Arabidopsis thaliana: one gene and its partners. The protein of the gene in region 4 interacts with the protein of the main gene of each other region in a biochemical or structural test. Each region holds a gene or a part of one and is shown on either strand. Other genes may lie near its edges. The genes, in order: VAMP721, SYP61, SNAP33 and SYP121.

What was found.
Region 1: the proteins of SYP121 (region 4) and VAMP721 form a complex in vitro, tested with the Arabidopsis thaliana proteins (one study listed by BioGRID).
Region 2: the proteins of SYP121 (region 4) and SYP61 form a complex in vitro, tested with the Arabidopsis thaliana proteins (one study listed by BioGRID).
Region 3: the proteins of SYP121 (region 4) and SNAP33 form a complex in vitro, tested with the Arabidopsis thaliana proteins (2 studies listed by BioGRID).

The regions. Positions count from the first base shown.
Region 1 is NC_003070.9:1,330,966-1,335,384, forward strand, and holds VAMP721 (vesicle-associated membrane protein 721), read right to left. Parts: upstream 2,687-4,419; 5' UTR 2,462-2,686; coding exon 2,272-2,461; exon of another isoform or gene 1,766-2,271; coding exon 1,624-1,765; intron 1,545-1,623; coding exon 1,424-1,544; intron 1,235-1,423; coding exon 1,172-1,234; intron 1,036-1,171; coding exon 892-1,035; 3' UTR 501-891; downstream 1-500. Other genes in the region: CTF18 (P-loop containing nucleoside triphosphate hydrolases superfamily protein), read right to left, coding at 1-121; VAMP726 (vesicle-associated membrane protein 726), read left to right, coding at 3,795-3,984, 4,367-4,419. UniProt on the Arabidopsis thaliana protein: Involved in the targeting and/or fusion of transport vesicles to their target membrane.
Region 2 is NC_003070.9:10,014,020-10,018,607, reverse strand, and holds SYP61 (syntaxin of plants 61), read right to left. Parts: upstream 2,753-4,588; 5' UTR 2,583-2,752; intron 2,202-2,582; 5' UTR 2,176-2,201; coding exon 2,122-2,175; intron 2,042-2,121; coding exon 1,928-2,041; intron 1,858-1,927; exon of another isoform or gene 1,773-1,857; coding exon of another isoform or gene 1,740-1,772; coding exon 1,626-1,739; intron 1,530-1,625; coding exon 1,342-1,529; intron 1,197-1,341; coding exon 1,106-1,196; intron 1,021-1,105; coding exon 955-1,020; intron 877-954; coding exon 766-876; 3' UTR 561-765; downstream 1-560. Other genes in the region: GRX480 (Thioredoxin superfamily protein), read left to right, coding at 4,561-4,588. UniProt on the Arabidopsis thaliana protein: Vesicle trafficking protein that functions in the secretory pathway; the fusion of phospholipid vesicles containing SYP61 and VTI12 is triggered by YKT61 and YKT62. Together with VTI12, required for membrane fusion.
Region 3 is NC_003076.8:24,621,521-24,626,210, reverse strand, and holds SNAP33 (soluble N-ethylmaleimide-sensitive factor adaptor protein 33), read right to left. Parts: upstream 2,964-4,690; 5' UTR 2,688-2,963; exon of another isoform or gene 2,468-2,687; intron 2,264-2,467; 5' UTR 2,185-2,263; coding exon 1,705-2,184; intron 1,572-1,704; coding exon 1,478-1,571; intron 1,386-1,477; coding exon 1,255-1,385; exon of another isoform or gene 1,043-1,254; coding exon 845-1,042; 3' UTR 580-844; downstream 1-579. Other genes in the region: AT5G61220 (LYR family of Fe/S cluster biogenesis protein), read left to right, coding at 1-154; AT5G61200 (myosin heavy chain-like protein), read right to left, coding at 4,130-4,186, 4,281-4,448, 4,550-4,690. UniProt on the Arabidopsis thaliana protein: t-SNARE involved in diverse vesicle trafficking and membrane fusion processes, including cell plate formation. May function in the secretory pathway.
Region 4 is NC_003074.8:3,728,805-3,732,753, reverse strand, and holds SYP121 (syntaxin of plants 121), read left to right. Parts: upstream 1-1,502; 5' UTR 1,503-1,885; coding exon 1,886-2,459; intron 2,460-2,747; coding exon 2,748-3,214; 3' UTR 3,215-3,449; downstream 3,450-3,949. Other genes in the region: AT3G11830 (TCP-1/cpn60 chaperonin family protein), read right to left, coding at 6-20; AT3G11825 (Bifunctional inhibitor/lipid-transfer protein/seed storage 2S albumin superfamily protein), read right to left, coding at 690-992; AT3G11810 (uncharacterized protein), read right to left, coding at 3,889-3,949. UniProt on the Arabidopsis thaliana protein: Vesicle trafficking protein that functions in the secretory pathway. Together with SYP61, regulates the post-Golgi trafficking of the aquaporin PIP2-7 to the plasma membrane, thus modulating cell membrane water permeability.

The DNA of each region.
Region 1 (4,419 bases), on a different chromosome or scaffold from region 4:
CGTCGATTGGGTAAGGATATGGCGGCTCCTCAAAGTTTAGGTACTCATCTTCTTCTTCGTAGAAATGAGAATTGGCTTCTAGAAGCTCAAGCTCCTCCGGCAATGGGATATCGAATTCCATTCTCTGATATGATTGACCGTATCGGAATTTTGTTGGGATTTGGTGCTCGGTGAACAAAAGTGAAAATCGGAATCTGGTGTGAGCTTGAGCGGGAATGAGAGTGTTTTAGCGGGAAAGTTTTGGTTGCAGGATCTCAAATTAGGTTTTACGGCCCATTAAATATTCGGCCCACTTAACTAAAATAGCCCAAATATTTATACCATTGTGACTACAGATTGTTGTTTCTTGACAAGATGCTTCTGTATGTACTACTAAACTCTGTATTGGTTGCTCCTACTGATAGCAGAGTAAACACGTATGTTTGAACTCATAAACGACCCGATGGCCGACAAGATCTACTCAAGCGTTGCGGGAGGAGTTTGAACAAAACAACCTTGGTGGTCGGAATATGACGTACGTATATATATGTACTACCATCCCTAGTAACGATATAGAGAGGGCACTACTCTTATCTAAATTTAAAGTAACCAGCACACATCACGCCGTATAATCGTCAATACAATCTCAAATTTTTATCATCACCACCACAATGCAATCTTCAGTCAACAAAATCATTTAATAGTTTCGGATCTCTTGTCAAGTACTGACTGGTTCGCAAGGGATCAATGTCATCAGATGCAAGCAATATAGCAAATGAGTAGCATACATATATGTCTATCTATACAAAACCAATTCAAGCAGAAACATTAGATTGAAGATCGAACAATAAAAGAGAAGGCACTACGATGTACCGAGTGAGAAAGATCTCAGAAGTTTTGAATTTTCTGGGCTTAACACTTAAACCCATGGCAAACTGAGAGCACGATGATGAGAATCAGTGCGATAATGATGGCGAGCACTATGAGTTTTATCTTCATGTTCTGAAGCCACATCTTTCTTCTCATCTGCGTTCCTGTTGTTCTGAAATCTTGTGCCTGTGGCAGTTTGAGTTCAGTTAGACACAAGATATGGTAATAGGATGAGTCAGCTATGAACTCAAAAAGCATGTTCATCTTTGTGTGTGAGTGTAGGCAAATAGATGCAGGAGATAAGGGTATGAGAGAGTCTAACCTGTGAGCGAAGATTTTCGGTTTTGTCCACCAAAAGCTCAATTTTCTCACCACGGTCAAGAACCTGCAAATAATGAGTCGCATATGTAAGCGGTGTTACATTGGTAAACTGGACATTTCCCGTAAGATGTAATGCATTGAATTATTAGTAATTGATTTCACAGTAACTTAGTATGACTAGATGAGCTCTTTCAGATGGGTCAACCATAGATGTAAATATATACATTGAGGACAGAAAGGGTCAGATTCAAACCTTCTCAATGTTTTCCATCATTACACCCTTAACTTCTGACACTTGCGCCTTCACCTTAGCAAGCTTGCTAATCTCATCAGGATGATCCATGCAATACTGCATATGCTCTTTCAGTTTAGAGCTTCAAAGTTACCAAAAAGAGTCAGTCCACGAATATAAAAGAGAAGATCATCCAAATAGAAGAGATAATGAAAAAGTACCCAAACTCCTTATTCAAGCTGTTTGCTTGAGCAGTTGCAGCCTTTCCACCACCATATCGCTTGTTAAAATCTTCTTTTACTCTTTCCAAAAAGGACATGGGAATTTGCCTCCCAGCAGAATCAACCGCAACAACACAATAGGCTGTACAACAGGAACAAAATCAATCTCCTTGTCTTCCCTTACGGGATAATCAGGTGACATTGATTTAATATGAAATTGATATGGCTACAACAACTAAAGGATAGTCACAAAAGCTTACAATAAGACCCCAGATTTTCATTGAAAAATGAAGCCAGCCAAAACCCATGACCTAGGAAACTATACGCAAATAAAGCAACCAGTAAAAACCCTGTCTCAGATCAATGTTGGTGTTCTTCCACATAGTATCAACCAAAGCTACCACGGATTCTGTCCAAATCTGAGTGATTATACAGGTAAGACTCTACAGAGATTTATTGCGTTTAATAAATATAGATCTAACCCTAAAAGCTTGGTTCATGCGGTTCCTCAGTGAAATCAGACTACTCAGGATGCACAAATCCATACGAATCGATAGGTTAGGCAAATAAACCTAGAAACAAATCGAGGTAAGCACCGAATGGTGTAAGATTAAAACCTATGCATAGATCAAACGAAAAGTGACTTACTGAATCCATCTTCGACAAGGTAATTGAAGGTATGACCGTCGCAGTTGTAGGTGAACTTGTTGTTCGAAGACGGAAGCTTCTGGAGGCACTGAGCAGCGATTGAGGTGAAATTACCTTTGAAATCAGTGAACTCAACGAGGATCACCGTGCCGCGAGCTACGAAACTGTAGATCAACGATTGTTGCGCCATTTTTTCTTTACCTTAAATCTCCGATCCAATCGACCGTCTGATCAGAGAATTTTTTGGGCGGTCGCGGAAAAAAACTACAGATCTAGAAGACTATGAAAGAACAAAACGAGGACTAAAGTGGACATGGGAGAAGAAAAAGTTGAAAAGCGGGCAAGGGTAAAGTTGTCATTTAAGGTAGTCAGATTGGGTCAAAAATAGTATAAAACCTTGAATTTAAGGACTAAAAAAAAACAATTTCAAAACGGAGAGATCAAACAAATGTCGAGAAAGTTGGACCCGCCCGGATCCAGCCAAAAAGCTCGTGGACTCTGCCGATGGCACAAATTAGTAATTACCAACTTTAGGACAAGTTCAGGTCCCATGGTCGAAGAGAGTCTGTCTCTGTCTTCCTCAAAATATCTTTTTTTCCAAATTCATCATTGATCAGTGATTCCAGTATTAGCTCAGTTACGAACAAAAGGCTTAAACATAAAAACAAATGTTGTAATTAACCAAATTTCTTAATTCTTAATGGACGGGGGGAGCTCATAGTCATAGTATCTTGTTACAGCAACAAAATTCGAACTTCTACCGTTATCTCTTGTCATCTACAATTGCTCTGCATTGTTTAGAACCTGCTAATTAATTTGTTTAACGTGTTCCTAAAGATTTTGATCAACAATCAAATAATTGAAATTTAGGTAGTTAGGTTGTGGTTAGAATAGAAGGTTAGTGAATTGGAATGAAAGAAAAGGTTTGCAACATTATTTTAATTTTTTTGGTAGGAAGGTTTGCAACATTATCAATTGAACGTTCTTTTAAGTAACATAACATATAATTTATAGAAAATTTAACAACTCAAATATCCCTTACACATCGCAATTTTCTTTATAAAAAATCAATATATAATATATATATATATATATATATTTGTTTTTTAAAATGCTCATTGATAAACATTTCACATTTGAATTGAAAAACGAGCCACCGTGGTGTAAAAACATGAAGATACTATTATTAATTAGACGTGAATTATTTACCAAAATAAAGTTTATTAAGGCAATTTTCGACTATACAAATGATGAATTTTTCTTTTTATTTACTTTTTATATTTAAAAATTCAAAATTTGAACGTTACCAAAGGGAAAATAATGTCTCTGTTACTCGCGCAAATCCAGCGCTCTCATATAGTTTCTCTTCTCCGATCTCTGCGTCCTGCTTTCTCCATCGCTACCCCTCGTTCCCTTGTGTATTTTTACATCGCTTACTAATCTCTCTCATCAATTCGATCGGATTTTTGTGGTGTTCTTAGGTTTCGTTTTTTTATCTTTCTCTCATCTGGATAAAAGGAAGAATGGGACAACAATCGTTGATCTACAGCTTCGTCGCTCGCGGTACGGTGATCCTCGCCGAGTATACCGAGTTCAAGGGCAATTTCACCTCCGTCGCCGCTCAGTGTCTCCAGAAACTTCCGTCCTCGAACAACAAATTTACCTACAATTGCGACGGTCACACTTTCAATTATCTCGCTGATAATGGCTTCAGTAAGTCTCTATCTCCCGATCTGTGTCGATTTTGCTCTGTATTTCTCTGTTTATGCCTTGGTTCATCTGTTTTCTTATGAATGCTTAGTTTCGAAATCAAATGTTCGAGAACAGTGTAGCTTTGAATTTCGTAGGATATTCGTTGCTCTCGATTCTTGTGGCATTGTGTTATATTCAGATTTTCTTCTAATCAATGCCATGTCTTGATTGGATATGCAATCTGTTGTTTTCGTTCTGATTTTAATCAGCTTTATGCATGGCTTCTTTGGAATGTTTATTGTGAAGATTTTTATGTTTGGAAAGCTTTGGTTGTCCAATGCACGAATTTGCTTTAGTTGGAATGTGACAATAAGATTTCTCATTTCCCTCTGTTGTTATGCAGCCTATTGTGTTGTTGTTATTGAATCTGCTGGGAGGCAGATACCAATGGCTTTC
Region 2 (4,588 bases), on a different chromosome or scaffold from region 4:
TCCCAGCCGACGGATTCTTTTATGGGCTTACGTTGGGCCTTATCAGCCCAAATCTCTTCTTATTAATGATACAATGACTCATTATTCATTTTACAATCTAAAGCGTTGTCATTTTGCACACAAAAAAAAAAAAAAAGCGTTGTCATAAGAGTTTAACGATAGTATCAGAAAGATTCAACAATAAATCAGTTATTCAACTAATTATATCCGGCAATGATTCTTCCGGAGATCATGCTTATAGTGAGTGAGTCCTTTGGATTCGTTGATGATCGATCAGTTGAAGCATTTGCCTTCAATTATGAACTATTAAGGGTGGTCTTTTGAGCAGTAGCCGGGTTTGTTGCCACAAATTGTTAGATTTTTGCCGGTTCTTTATTTTTGGAGTCATTTTGTTGTCTTTAGATGTTTCTTATGGAGTCTGCTTTCGGAATTTTTTTTTCGTTACAGAACTGAAGAAGCAAAGGAGACATTGCGGAAACTTAAAGAAGGCATAATAAAGGTGTATTCTATAGGGAAGTTTTTGACGGCTTACTTTTGATGAGACTGATTTGTATTGTTTAAGGAACTTAGCCATGGGATCAAGCTATGAAAGTATTTAATTTCAGGTTCTCTAGAGATCACACAGCCAAAGTTCAAAATTATATGTGGGATTGGATAGGAGAAGAAAAAACAGACAACCTTATGTAAATATTCCATTTGTTTCACCACAAACATGATAATGTAAGACATTAAACTCCCATCTATAAGATCCCGCGGCTCTGTTCTTTAGGTCAAGAAGACAAGAACGAATAGGATGATGAACAAGACGAGCAAGAAACATATCATCATCATTTGACCTTTTGCTCCAGCTTTCTTCATTACCATTCCCACTTTTTTCTGTCACAATACCATTTTCATTCTTTCAGTTTTTACTTTCTGCAATCAAACCAGCAACAAGACCTTTAAGGGGTTTACCTGAACAAATTCAAGACGGTTCTTTGTGCTGTCCATCTCCGTATCCAATTCATCTATTATTCTCTCCTGAACACACACAATAACAAAAACTTGATGTTTCTGATCTCTACTGATACGTCCTACTGTTAAATCATCTTCCCATATTACTAACCTGTGCAACGAGTTCGTCGTGTATAGTGAGCCCCACTCCTCCAATTCTCTGTACACTTTTACTAAGCTCATCCAATTCTTCGTCTTGTTGCCTGAAGTGAAAAAAATGATGTTAAGTTATGGCACTACTCTGTTTTTGAACAACACTATGCTACAATCTTCAGTCTAAAATCGTTATAAACTCAGAAGCAAAGAAAAGACTGCAAAACAATGTAGAACACACAGAGAGAGCTTTACTTTATCAACAGCATTTGCCTATCTGATTCTGACTGTACAAAACCATCATCGTCTCTCCCTCCATACTGATCATATCTACTTGCTTCACCCGAGTTTGGCATTCTCATTAGTTCTCTACGCACTTCACTTGCATGACCTGCTCCAGAACTAACCTTTCCAGCTAAAACACCAGACTTCACATTCCGCACCTATAAAAAAAATCGTAATCGTCTTGCACAAGTCAACTAACAACAAATTTATGCCACTATGTAAAGCAGTATTCATAACAAACTTAGAGAACATACCTGTGTCCTAGCATTACTAGTCCATCTCCTCCGTTTTTCAAGCTCAGCTTCATCAATGCCATACCATGAAGGATCTTTTGCTGCAACAGTAATCGCTTTTTCCAGCTCATCTACCTTCCTATCAGTAAAAACAGCTTCAATAGCCATGAAAGGACTCGAATATATTCAATTGGAATTTCTAATCATGTAAATAAGGGCCAATACATTCCTACAAGATCCATTTACAAACACAAATCCTATTCCACACCAGCTAAATTATATATAAAGACGAGATTAATAGAACCGTGACTAAATACGAGTACCTGCCACTCAATGCTTCCACAAGTAGCAACAAGCTCCTTCGCCACATGTGCTTGATCACCCATGTCGGGAGAGATACGCTCCCATTTGTGGAATGTAGATTGCAACTTATCAATCTAACAAAGCATCATCCATCAATCACTGTACTTCAAAATCTAAACAAAAAAACATCTCTGGCAATTTCTGAACAACTTACAGAATCCTGAATCTCTTCTTTAACAATGTAGAATGGATCTTGAGCTGAAGACATCCCGAAATCAACAAAATTTTGCTACCCTATACACCAAATAACACAGCTGATTAAGCTATAGAAACAAGTTCTTATGCAAAGTTAGTTACAGAAACAGAATTTTGAAATTTCATCTCATTGGCAGGGATTGTTCTGGAGATGCGCAAATTCTACGATTGCAAAATTAGAGTTCCTAAGTCACAATGATCAAACTCGACAAAACTATTAGATCCAGAGAAATTCCGATTAAATCCTGGCTAATCTAGGGTTAGAATTTTATTCAATAGAACCGGAACGGCTTTATCAATCTATGTGCTTTAAGATCGACACAAACATTGGAGAAAAAGCTTGCGTTTAGAGACGATAACGACAAGGATCAATGCGAAAGGAGAATTGATGTAAGAGGAAAATTGAAGAAGCTTCCTTACCTGTGAAGGAATTAATCGAAAGGTGACGCGACGGAGAACAAACGACGGTGAAGTAAAAGAGATTCCGGCGTGAGATTCGTCTCTCTTACATAGCAAAACGCATCACCTGCGGTTGGCTTTGAGATTCGCTGAAAGTTTATTTTTGGGCTACTGGAGAATCTTATAAAGCCCAATAAGAGACCACAGAGCCCAATAAGTTATTACAAATCTACGACAGTATTAATAAAGACCATTTTCTACGTTACAAAATTTTGATTATTAACTGTTATAGAAAATGGTTATATTGAAACGCATATTTGGCATTTGTTATAGAAGAAAGAAACCACTCTTGCTGAGTTTTTGTTGGTTAAAGCGTGACCTAAGTCTGTCTATTGAGAAGATTCATAGTCCATGAAAAATCCGATGCTACTATAAATGATTGTTTACTAATCCTAGAAACCAAAAACAAATAATTGTTTTCTCAATTCAAAAATTGTATGGTAAAATTTTAGGGTTTACACATTTAAGATTTTAAGTGTTATAGATTTCCGGTGCACAGAAGAATGGTATATATTGTGAGTTTGTGATTAGTTTTGTTATGCAAACTTCTCACGTTAGGCAACTGTAAATATAATATCTCCAACAAAGCGGTCATGCAATTTGTTTTGTTGAAAATTTGTATATTTTACTAGCGGTCATGAATTTTTAAATCCCCCACACTCTATTTTTTAAAATATTTTTAACGTTTTGGGACCATGATGGATGTTGAACTTTCATTTCAGGATTTGGTGGAACGATAAAATTGGAAAGGCTTTGGAGTTTGGAACCTGAAGAACTTATAAAGTTAAAGGATGACACGTGACTTTAATAAAGAAATGCAATTCCCATAATCATATAATAGTCCAAATTTAGGAAGAAATGGGTGACATGAGTTTTAAAGAAGAAAGACGTCATGATTCCATTAAAACAAACCAAATTAGTTGGTGGCTTGGTGCTGACGTCTACCGACTTTTCCACCGTCCATCCTTCGACGATGGTTCTTTCTAAATGACCTTCTCAGTTTTTTCCTGTCATGCGTATTATTATTATTAGTTAATAAGGCTCCACTACTACTCGGAAAGTCCGAGTACAAATAATATGACAATAATGTCAAACTTATTCTTAGTATTGGTTTAAAAGAAGGATTCAACAAGAGTACTTAATCACGTCTCATAATTACCACTTTCATCCAAACATGGTCATTACTATATGACATGATCGTGTTACATTAATTTGGAAAGTAGTATATGTCTTTTTCCTAAAAGTTTATGTTTAGATTTTTGATCACTAAGAATATAATGTCATATATATTATTAACCTTTACACCTAAATGTTATATTAATTACTTGAATGATAAAACGGAAAATATCGAAAGTTTAGGCTAGGTCTCTCTAGCATCTCTAGTGTATTTATTTAGCAATCCCAAAACAAAATTGTGTTTTCTACAATTTTAGTATTAGATTACCAAAATTGTTGTATATAGTCTGGTGATTCCGTTTTGATGGTCGAGATCGAAAGAAGCAAGCATCCACTATGTGGTCGTCACATGCGAATATTTCTAAGTATACAACCATCTATCGAAAGTTTCGAAACAACCCAAATATAATAGTAATAAATTCTGAGAATTCTCCTATTTTTTATTGATATGAAAAAAGCAGTAAAATATTATGTAAAGTAGAGAGGAACCAAAATTAAAACGTGCAGATTTATTAAAAGAATAAAGTGGGATCCAAAAAGTCAGCGTGAAACATGTGATACGATATAACGACACGGTCCTATGACTAAGTCCACTCCAATCCAGTGACGTAAACAGCACCATCACCCATAGCTTCCTGTGACGCACATCCTTACGTAACCATCGTTGACGCTAGACTTTCCTCTCTGATCTCTCTTTCTTCATGTATATATAACAAAACCTTCCTTTCCTAATTGGTATCTATCTTTAAAAACATACTTGAAAATGCAAGGAACGATTTCTTGTGCAAGAA
Region 3 (4,690 bases), on a different chromosome or scaffold from region 4:
CTTCCGCATGAACAAGAATCTCACTGACCCATCGAAGGTGACTGAGGCTTATGCTGAAGCTAAAAAACAGCTTTTTGTTGCTGAGAGAGTGCTCAAGGTTTACTTGGCATATCCTCCCAAGACCAAGAACATCATGGAAGTCAAGCTTCAGTAGATGTATGTTTGTCATTACAATATCCTCCAAAGCTATTTGTTTTTAATGGTCATGTTGGAGCCACTTTATATTCATTGATTGTCGAGTTTGTGGCTTGAGAATATGATTCGGGAACAAGTGGTGTTTGTATGAGATTATTATTTCCTCTATTCATAGTTCTTTCCAACTATGTCAGATTGCTTTGTCTAGTTCTCATTAGTAGTCTTTGTGTTTTATGGCTTCAGACATTATACAAGTGAAGAAGAGGACATTGTGGAATATATCCCTTGGATTGTAGCTGAGGAAGACTAAAGGGAATGAAGAGTTCCTGGTTTTTTTGTTCTTTTGAATAATCTCACATGATTGTGCAGTTGTTGCATAACATATGTTCCAACTTGTCTGGAGTTTCTGTATTCTTATGTCGTATTCTAGCACTGATATTTTTAGGTTATAAATCTGAGATTAAAACTCATAATTTCATCTATTATCAGAATTTCTTGAGAAAGCTTTATGATACAGATAAAAACGATACCAAAGTTGCTTCTGTTTGATCAATAAGTTTTTTGGTTTTTTGTCACAAGATCAAATACAAACACAGATAGCAATAATGTATTTAACATGATAAGAATCTTTCCAGTTTTAAAGAACAACTTCATAGAGAATAAAACAAACGAGGAATGAGTGTAATGAACATATAAACCCTCTGTTCATCTACTTTCCAAGCAAACGGCGACCACGTTGGTTTGATTGTTGCACTCTGAAGTTGAGTTCGTCAACATCATCATGAAGATGGTCAAGTCCTTTGTTCTGCTTCTCGATTTCGCTTCCCATGTCAACAGCCATGTTCTTTAGCTCGCCGAGTATATCACTCAAGTCTGAAAGCCCATCGTCTTGCTTAGCTTTTTCCATCTGTAATAAACCAGTATTAAGTTTAGTGGCGTCCAAAACACATGTTTTTCACTCAGATATATATGCTCATCATTGATGAGTCATCAATGTCTCAAATTGTTAGCATTACAGGACCACAGATAAAGAGTTCATGCATCACTCATATCAGATGCAGGAGTATAGTAATGTTCTTATGAAAGGAAAAATTGAAGAGAGGGAAGAGAAGTCCAAACCTCCACTCTCTGATAAGCATCAGCTGATTCGGGGAGTGGTTCTCGGGTTCTTGATTGTCCTCTGGGTGCTGAGTTCAGTCCCAGTTTTTCCCTTTTCTCTAAGTGGTTAACTCTTCTCGTTGGTGAGTCATCTAAGCAAAAACACAAAATAAAGGATTCAGCAATTAGGTGAAAGTAAAATAGCTGCGAGAAGAATTGAGATATCAATGACCAAGAAGCAAACCTCTGGTTACGACGGGACCATTTATAGGACGAGTCTTCTTTGGTTTCCAAGTCTTTGAAAACATGCCTCCAAGGCTTCCAAGAAGTTTCTCACCCTGAAAACCAAAAATCCAACTAGTTTCAGCATCAAATGTCTACCGTCTTCTTATCTCACACCAACTAATGTCCTCAGAAAAAGATTGAATGTTTCCATTTTATAATCAAGAACCAGAAGGAAGAAAAACTCACACGACTGAGATCATGGTCGATTTCAACGGCTTTATGGTGCGTCCTAGTGATTTGCTCGCCCTGATCGTGTAACATGACCAAAGTTCTGGTAGCATCAGACCTTATATCTTCTGCTACCTTCAAACAACCTTGTACAGATTTCGTAGTCTCTTCAGCCTTGTACACAGCATAACCTTCAAGCTCCTGAACCGACTGGTTTTCAATACCACCAGAATCACGGAAATTGTTCTTGTACTGGTATTTGGAGTTCGAAAACAATGACTGTTTGGATGAACTACTATCTCCTTTCTGAACTCTCTCACCACCAAAAGGGTTTGTCATATCAGCCAAAGAGGGTTCAGAGGTAGTCCTCTTAGAAGGGTTAAGGGTATGTTTGTTGTCAGATTCATCATCTGAATCGAAAGGATTTGGCTTGGAAGACTTGAGGTCGACTGAGTTATGCTTGGGAAGATTTGCCGGTGATTTCCTTAAACCAAACATTGTCTCTCAGGATAATATCACAAAGCTTGTTGCTTCAAACAAAAGGAACACTTGGATTGGTTACTACTAATAAACCTTCCTGCAGAAACCAAAACAGTAATCAGGATTGATGCTTTGATTCTAACTTGTAAGCTAAGAGAAAAGTTGATCAAATCAAAGGTATAGATAAAGTAAAGCAACAAGTCAAAAACGTAGCATCGAATGATTTCACTTCTAAGAACAATTTAAACGATAACATAAGACGAGACCAAAAAGTATAAGTTTTAGTTAATCAATTTTAAACCTAATTTTGGGCATAATTGAGTATATGTAGCGGCTAAAGAACCCAAGACTATGAAAACCACACACAAAATTCGCTTAATTATTTCGATAATTCTCTCTGGAACGAAACAATCGCAGAAGAGGAACGGAACAAATCGAAAGCCCAGGATCTAGCAGACGGAAATTGAGAAGAAAGGAACTGAGAATTTTGAAGCAAAAGATAGAGAGCAGATTGTGGTTACCTGGATGAGCGAAGTGGAGTCCGTGAAGAAGAAGATGGAGAAGATGAAGATTAGGTTCTTAATGAATAGAATAGAAGAGGAAGGAGGACCAAATCAATGCGAAGAAGAAGAAGAAAGGAAGAAAGGATCAAAAAGGGAAAAGATTTAACGCGGAGACGACTCAGAACGACCCAAGAATTTGAGAGTACAACAAGGAGGTCTTTGGGTATGTGTTGACGAAAATTTATCAAGGAGATTAAAAAAAAAACAAATTGTAGAAAGGAACGTGGATCAATTAATAAATAAAACAAAATCATTTAATTCAAATCTAAAACGGTCATATATATAATTCTTTTTTTTTCTAGATCAAACTTCTAAAAAAGTAAAAAGTAACTACTTTCTAACGAAAATAGAGCAATTTAGATCTTTTTAATTGTATATAGGACGTAATTGTGGATATAATAAACGTAGTTGGATTTTTTCTTACAGAGAAAGAGTCATTTTCTTATATTTTTCTAATTTCTGCTTCTTTTTTTGTACTGATGGTTTAGTTGATAAATTGTATGAGCCCAAAAAGAATGGGTAAGTTGTCAATTTTGTCATCCAAAAAGAATGGTCTTTGTTGAATTTGTCAAAGAGAACATATTTTCGCCCAAAACCAAAAACTACTTGAAGATAGAAAATTGTTTGACAATATCTATGGATATGATCATGCCTAATTTATCTCATTAATTTTTATTTGTTACCGGTTACATTGATAACGACTACAACAAAATCTTGATGTCCTAGTAGATACGATATTTCAACATATCATTTTGGTGAAGAACAAGTTGGAATATGTTTTTGCTTAAAGTCAAGTTGGATTAGGTTAGACAACAAATCTACAAGTGTCTTGATTAACAATAAAGACAACAGGTTCTTTTCCTTGACCCATTCATTTATCCCTTTGCATCAACAACAAGGTTACTAGACTCTGCACATACATGATGATACAACAACGCTTCCAGATTTCTTTATTTTCACAAGAAAAAGAAGAACAATAAAAGAGAGAAAAACGGGCCATCAAATAAACTCAGCCTTATTGACCTAGGCTCATTACAGGCCTATCAAATAGAGTCAAATAGTAAGAATCTTCTTGGTCAACGACCACAGCTTTCAACATTCTCTAGAGACTCATGTCAATTTCTCAAGATCTCTACATGTTGCTGAAGGCGTAATTAAACACTTAGAAGCCACATGAAGAAGCAGTTTTTTTTTTTGGTAGGCACATGAAGAAGCAGTTTCACTCTTGTAAAACTCAATTTCCATATATAAACATAATCACAGGGATGAAATCTATATTCCAATTTCCAATCAAATTGGATTATGTACACTTTAAATACATAAGAATTCAAACCTTATAGCTTAAAGGCTTATTTGAGGCATTAACTGTGATTTCAAGTTTAACTCGAACCTTAGCTGGTTTATACAGCAGGAAGAGGAACTAAGCAAGTTGAGGACTTGTTCTTCTCTCTCTTGATCTTAACAAGAAAATGGATATTTGTTAGGTTCCTTCAACAATATCTGATGGCTCAAAAAAAATAAAAAAATTGGAAGATATAAAGAAGCAAGTACCTGTGCTTCTAGATTGGCTATTCTTTGTAATGATGCTTGTTCGATGCATGCACGCCGCTTGCATTCTTCCTCCAATAAACATGTCATTTCATATCTTAATTCAGCCATTTCTTGTGTTAAGTCCTCTGCTTCTTCCTTGGCCTTTAGTTTCTCTTCTTTCAACTCATCCTTAGGCATAACAAAATAATGGTTTAACTAGTTAGAATATGTGTGACGCTGCAAAAAGGCACCAAATTTTTGATTCTACTGTTTTGTTTGGTAACTAATACCTTGAGCTGCTTTACAAGATCTTTGTATTGAAGTATCTGTCTTGCCATATCTTCCATTTTGTCTCTCAGTTTCCCATCCTGGAAAACCTCTAATTTCTTGATGATGTCATGGAAACAATCTGGATTTACAGGCGCTTCACT
Region 4 (3,949 bases):
CTTACCATCATCGATGCCATTGTAGATGCGTGACGAAGAGCTTCAGAGATGTGAAGAAAGTGAGAGAAATGGAGCAGAGAGAGAGAGAGAGGGGGGGAGTTAGGGTTTAGGTCTTCTGTTGTTCATATAGGAGCAACTAGATCGACCGATGTTCTTAGAACCGGACCGGCCGGTTGAACCGATAATTTCACTTAAAACGCAGCGTTTTATGGTCTGGACCCCACTTAGAAAGTCATAATTAAATTATTTAAAAGTTTCTCCATGCTTTTTTAATGGAGTTAAATTATGCAGACACAAAATTATGTAAAAATTGGCTTTCGACGCATATATTTGTTGATTTTTCACTTTTGCTCTGTTAATTTAGAATTTGGTAAACTCTAATGTGGAAAGGATGGCAATGGAGGTGGCTCTTTTGGGAGGAACTCAAAAGGATTATACTTTTTGAAGCAATACTTGTTGTTTGTAACTAAGCTACATGATAAATCAAAGTTTAATTAGTCATTAGTCTCTCTAGACAATTGTTCTTATATATTATGTGTTCTAACTTCTATCAAAACTATAAGGACAATTGACAAGTTATTAAACATAACGACTACAAAGTACAAACCATTAAACTACATAGTACAAATCTGATCAAAAATATGTTTGCTTTATTGTTGTTAATTATTTACTTTTATGTATCTATATATTTAACACTTGAACTCAGAGAATGCATCCTTTGGAAGACCACCACGACCACACGCATTGTTAACGTTGCGAGCAGCTATCTTTAGCTTGGGGGACTTGAGAAACAAACACATACATTTTTTTTTCATTATCATATTATAACAACAACGCTCATAAATGTAACCGTGAGTAAAGAATTCAGTTTTGTCTATGCACCATTGCATGTCCTTTTCACAATTACCCACACCACCGGCTACTTTGATGGGAGCCGGAAATGACGTCATGAATATGACCAAGGCAATGGACATCAATGGGATGATCTTCATGTCTGATTTATTAACCTACCAGCTGATGACAAAATATCTCAAATCAGGAACAATTAGTTTTGCAAAAATGTTGTATATTTTTTGTTTGTTTGAGATCTTTAAATAGGAAACTTGGAATCAACGATTTATACAACATATGGGTATCCTATAGATTAGGGAGGAAAGTGATTCTATTTTTATATGGTTGTTCATATTGAACATTTGACTTGTTCTTTATGTATATCGGTGTATGGTTGTTAGGATGTTGTATATCTTACAAATCGAACAATCGAAGTATTACAATTGCTTTCCGGTGCTCAAAGACTGGGCTATGGGTTTAGGCTTGGCCCTTTAACGGAGAAAAGCAAGGATTTGGTGGGCTTCTTTAAATTTGGTTCGATGGACGATTCTAAATTATGTAAATTAATTTGATATACAGTAACATTTTTGTTTTTTTAAATGTTTTCTGCTGAAGTCAATTTATCAATAAGTGTTTCGTATGGGCTAATGTATCCTTTGGATGATAAACTTAAAGTATCCAAAGCCGACAAAATAAAATTTTAAAAATCATTCAAATTACGAATGTTTTTTTCTTTCTCCAATTTATATATGATTTTGGGATCTGTTACCGTATATACTTACACGTACGGGACAAGGGCACACGGTTTCGCTTTCAACTTCACCTTCCCTTCTCCGCCATTGTTACTTTCTCAGAAGCTTCCAAGTCAACCAATAGAGACTTACTTGTTTGACTTCTTCCTCTCTTACCTCATAATCCTCCTTTTGGACTTTTCAATAAAACCGCCTACTTGAATCTGTACGACTTCTTCTCATTTTTCCATTCTTTAAGTCTTCCCGTTGATTCATTCCGATCTGAAATCTCTCTCTAGATTTCTCTATTTTTCGAATTTTAAATGAACGATTTGTTTTCCAGCTCATTCTCTCGCTTCCGCAGCGGAGAACCATCCCCTCGCCGAGACGTTGCCGGCGGTGGCGACGGAGTTCAGATGGCGAATCCCGCGGGATCAACCGGTGGTGTGAACCTCGACAAGTTCTTCGAAGATGTTGAATCTGTGAAAGAAGAGCTAAAGGAGCTAGATCGGCTCAACGAAACACTCTCTTCATGTCACGAGCAGAGCAAGACGCTTCACAATGCTAAAGCCGTTAAAGATCTCCGGTCTAAAATGGACGGTGACGTTGGAGTCGCGTTGAAGAAGGCGAAGATGATTAAAGTTAAACTCGAGGCGCTAGATCGTGCCAATGCTGCTAATCGGAGTCTCCCTGGCTGTGGACCTGGTTCTTCCTCCGATCGAACCAGGACCTCTGTCCTCAATGGTCTCAGGAAGAAATTGATGGACTCTATGGATAGTTTCAACCGATTGAGGGAGCTTATCTCGTCCGAGTATAGAGAAACTGTACAGAGGAGGTACTTCACCGTCACCGGCGAGAATCCGGATGAACGAACCCTAGATCGACTGATTTCCACTGGTTAGTTTAATCTTCCATTCAAATCACTTCCAGATTCAAGTAGAATCATCATCTAGGTTAACATATGATGACCAATTGGTTTCCGAACACTGATTCCAGGCTTCTTAGTATACAGTGTTGTGGTTGTGAAGAACAGTAACTTCAGATTTTGCGTTTAGACTATGAAAATGGATTTGTATATCTTATGTTGTGCTAGTTCCTAGCTGTTAGAGCTGGAATTGATCTCTGGATACTTAGACATGTTGTTACATGAGTGGTGGTGCGACATTGATACTGTTTTTGTTGCAGGAGAGAGTGAGAGATTCTTGCAGAAAGCAATACAAGAACAAGGAAGAGGAAGGGTGTTAGACACCATTAACGAGATTCAAGAAAGGCATGATGCGGTTAAAGACATTGAGAAGAATCTCAGGGAGCTTCACCAGGTGTTTCTAGACATGGCCGTGCTGGTAGAGCACCAGGGAGCTCAGCTTGATGACATCGAGAGTCATGTGGGTCGAGCTAGCTCCTTTATCAGAGGCGGAACTGACCAGCTACAAACCGCTCGGGTTTACCAGAAGAACACGCGAAAATGGACATGTATTGCCATTATTATTCTCATCATCATCATAACTGTTGTGGTTCTTGCTGTTTTAAAACCGTGGAACAACAGCAGTGGCGGCGGCGGCGGTGGTGGTGGTGGGGGTACCACTGGAGGAAGTCAACCAAATTCAGGGACACCACCAAATCCTCCTCAGGCAAGGCGTCTATTGCGTTGAAGTTGAAGTTGAAGTTGAGTTTCGTTATTTGCATATATATTCTTTCTTTGAAAAACCTTATTATCAAACCAGCTTTGTGTTACTACTTTCTACTGCTGGTTTGTTGTTAATCTCCCGTTTATTTGGTTTTTGTGAAAGAATTTAAAATGTGGGTTAGATGAGAAAATTAGTACAACATTCTCTTGTATCTATGTTTGCTATATGGGTTATATTTACTTGATGTGATTTCAGGGTTTATCGTTTCTTGTTCTATTTGGTTGAAGTATATGAGCCATTTCAAACCAAACGAGGTAATACCAACCGATAACACAAAAACTTCATTAGTCTTGGCATTTTCCAAGTTCGAATATGATACTAAATCTAGACTTTGATGCTATGATTTGTTCTGGGGTGTACTCTTAACATTTTGTTGACTTTTCAGTTGACTGATATGTTGATCCTACTGTGATACTTTTCTTTCTTTTTTTTTTTTTTTTTTTTAATCCCAATTCTGATTCAGATTACAGAAGTTTTCAAGTCTCAAGAACAGTAAAGAAGATCAATATACGTACAAGGGTTACAAACTTGCATTATCATACAAGAAGACCAGTTTTCCAAACACTACCTTAAAACATAACAACAAAACAAACAAGATCATCATCATCATCATCATCATCATCATCATCATCATTTCATCAGATGTTGTTGTAAGCTACAGAGACCAAGTGAGGAACTTTACCATCATCAAAAGGCAAG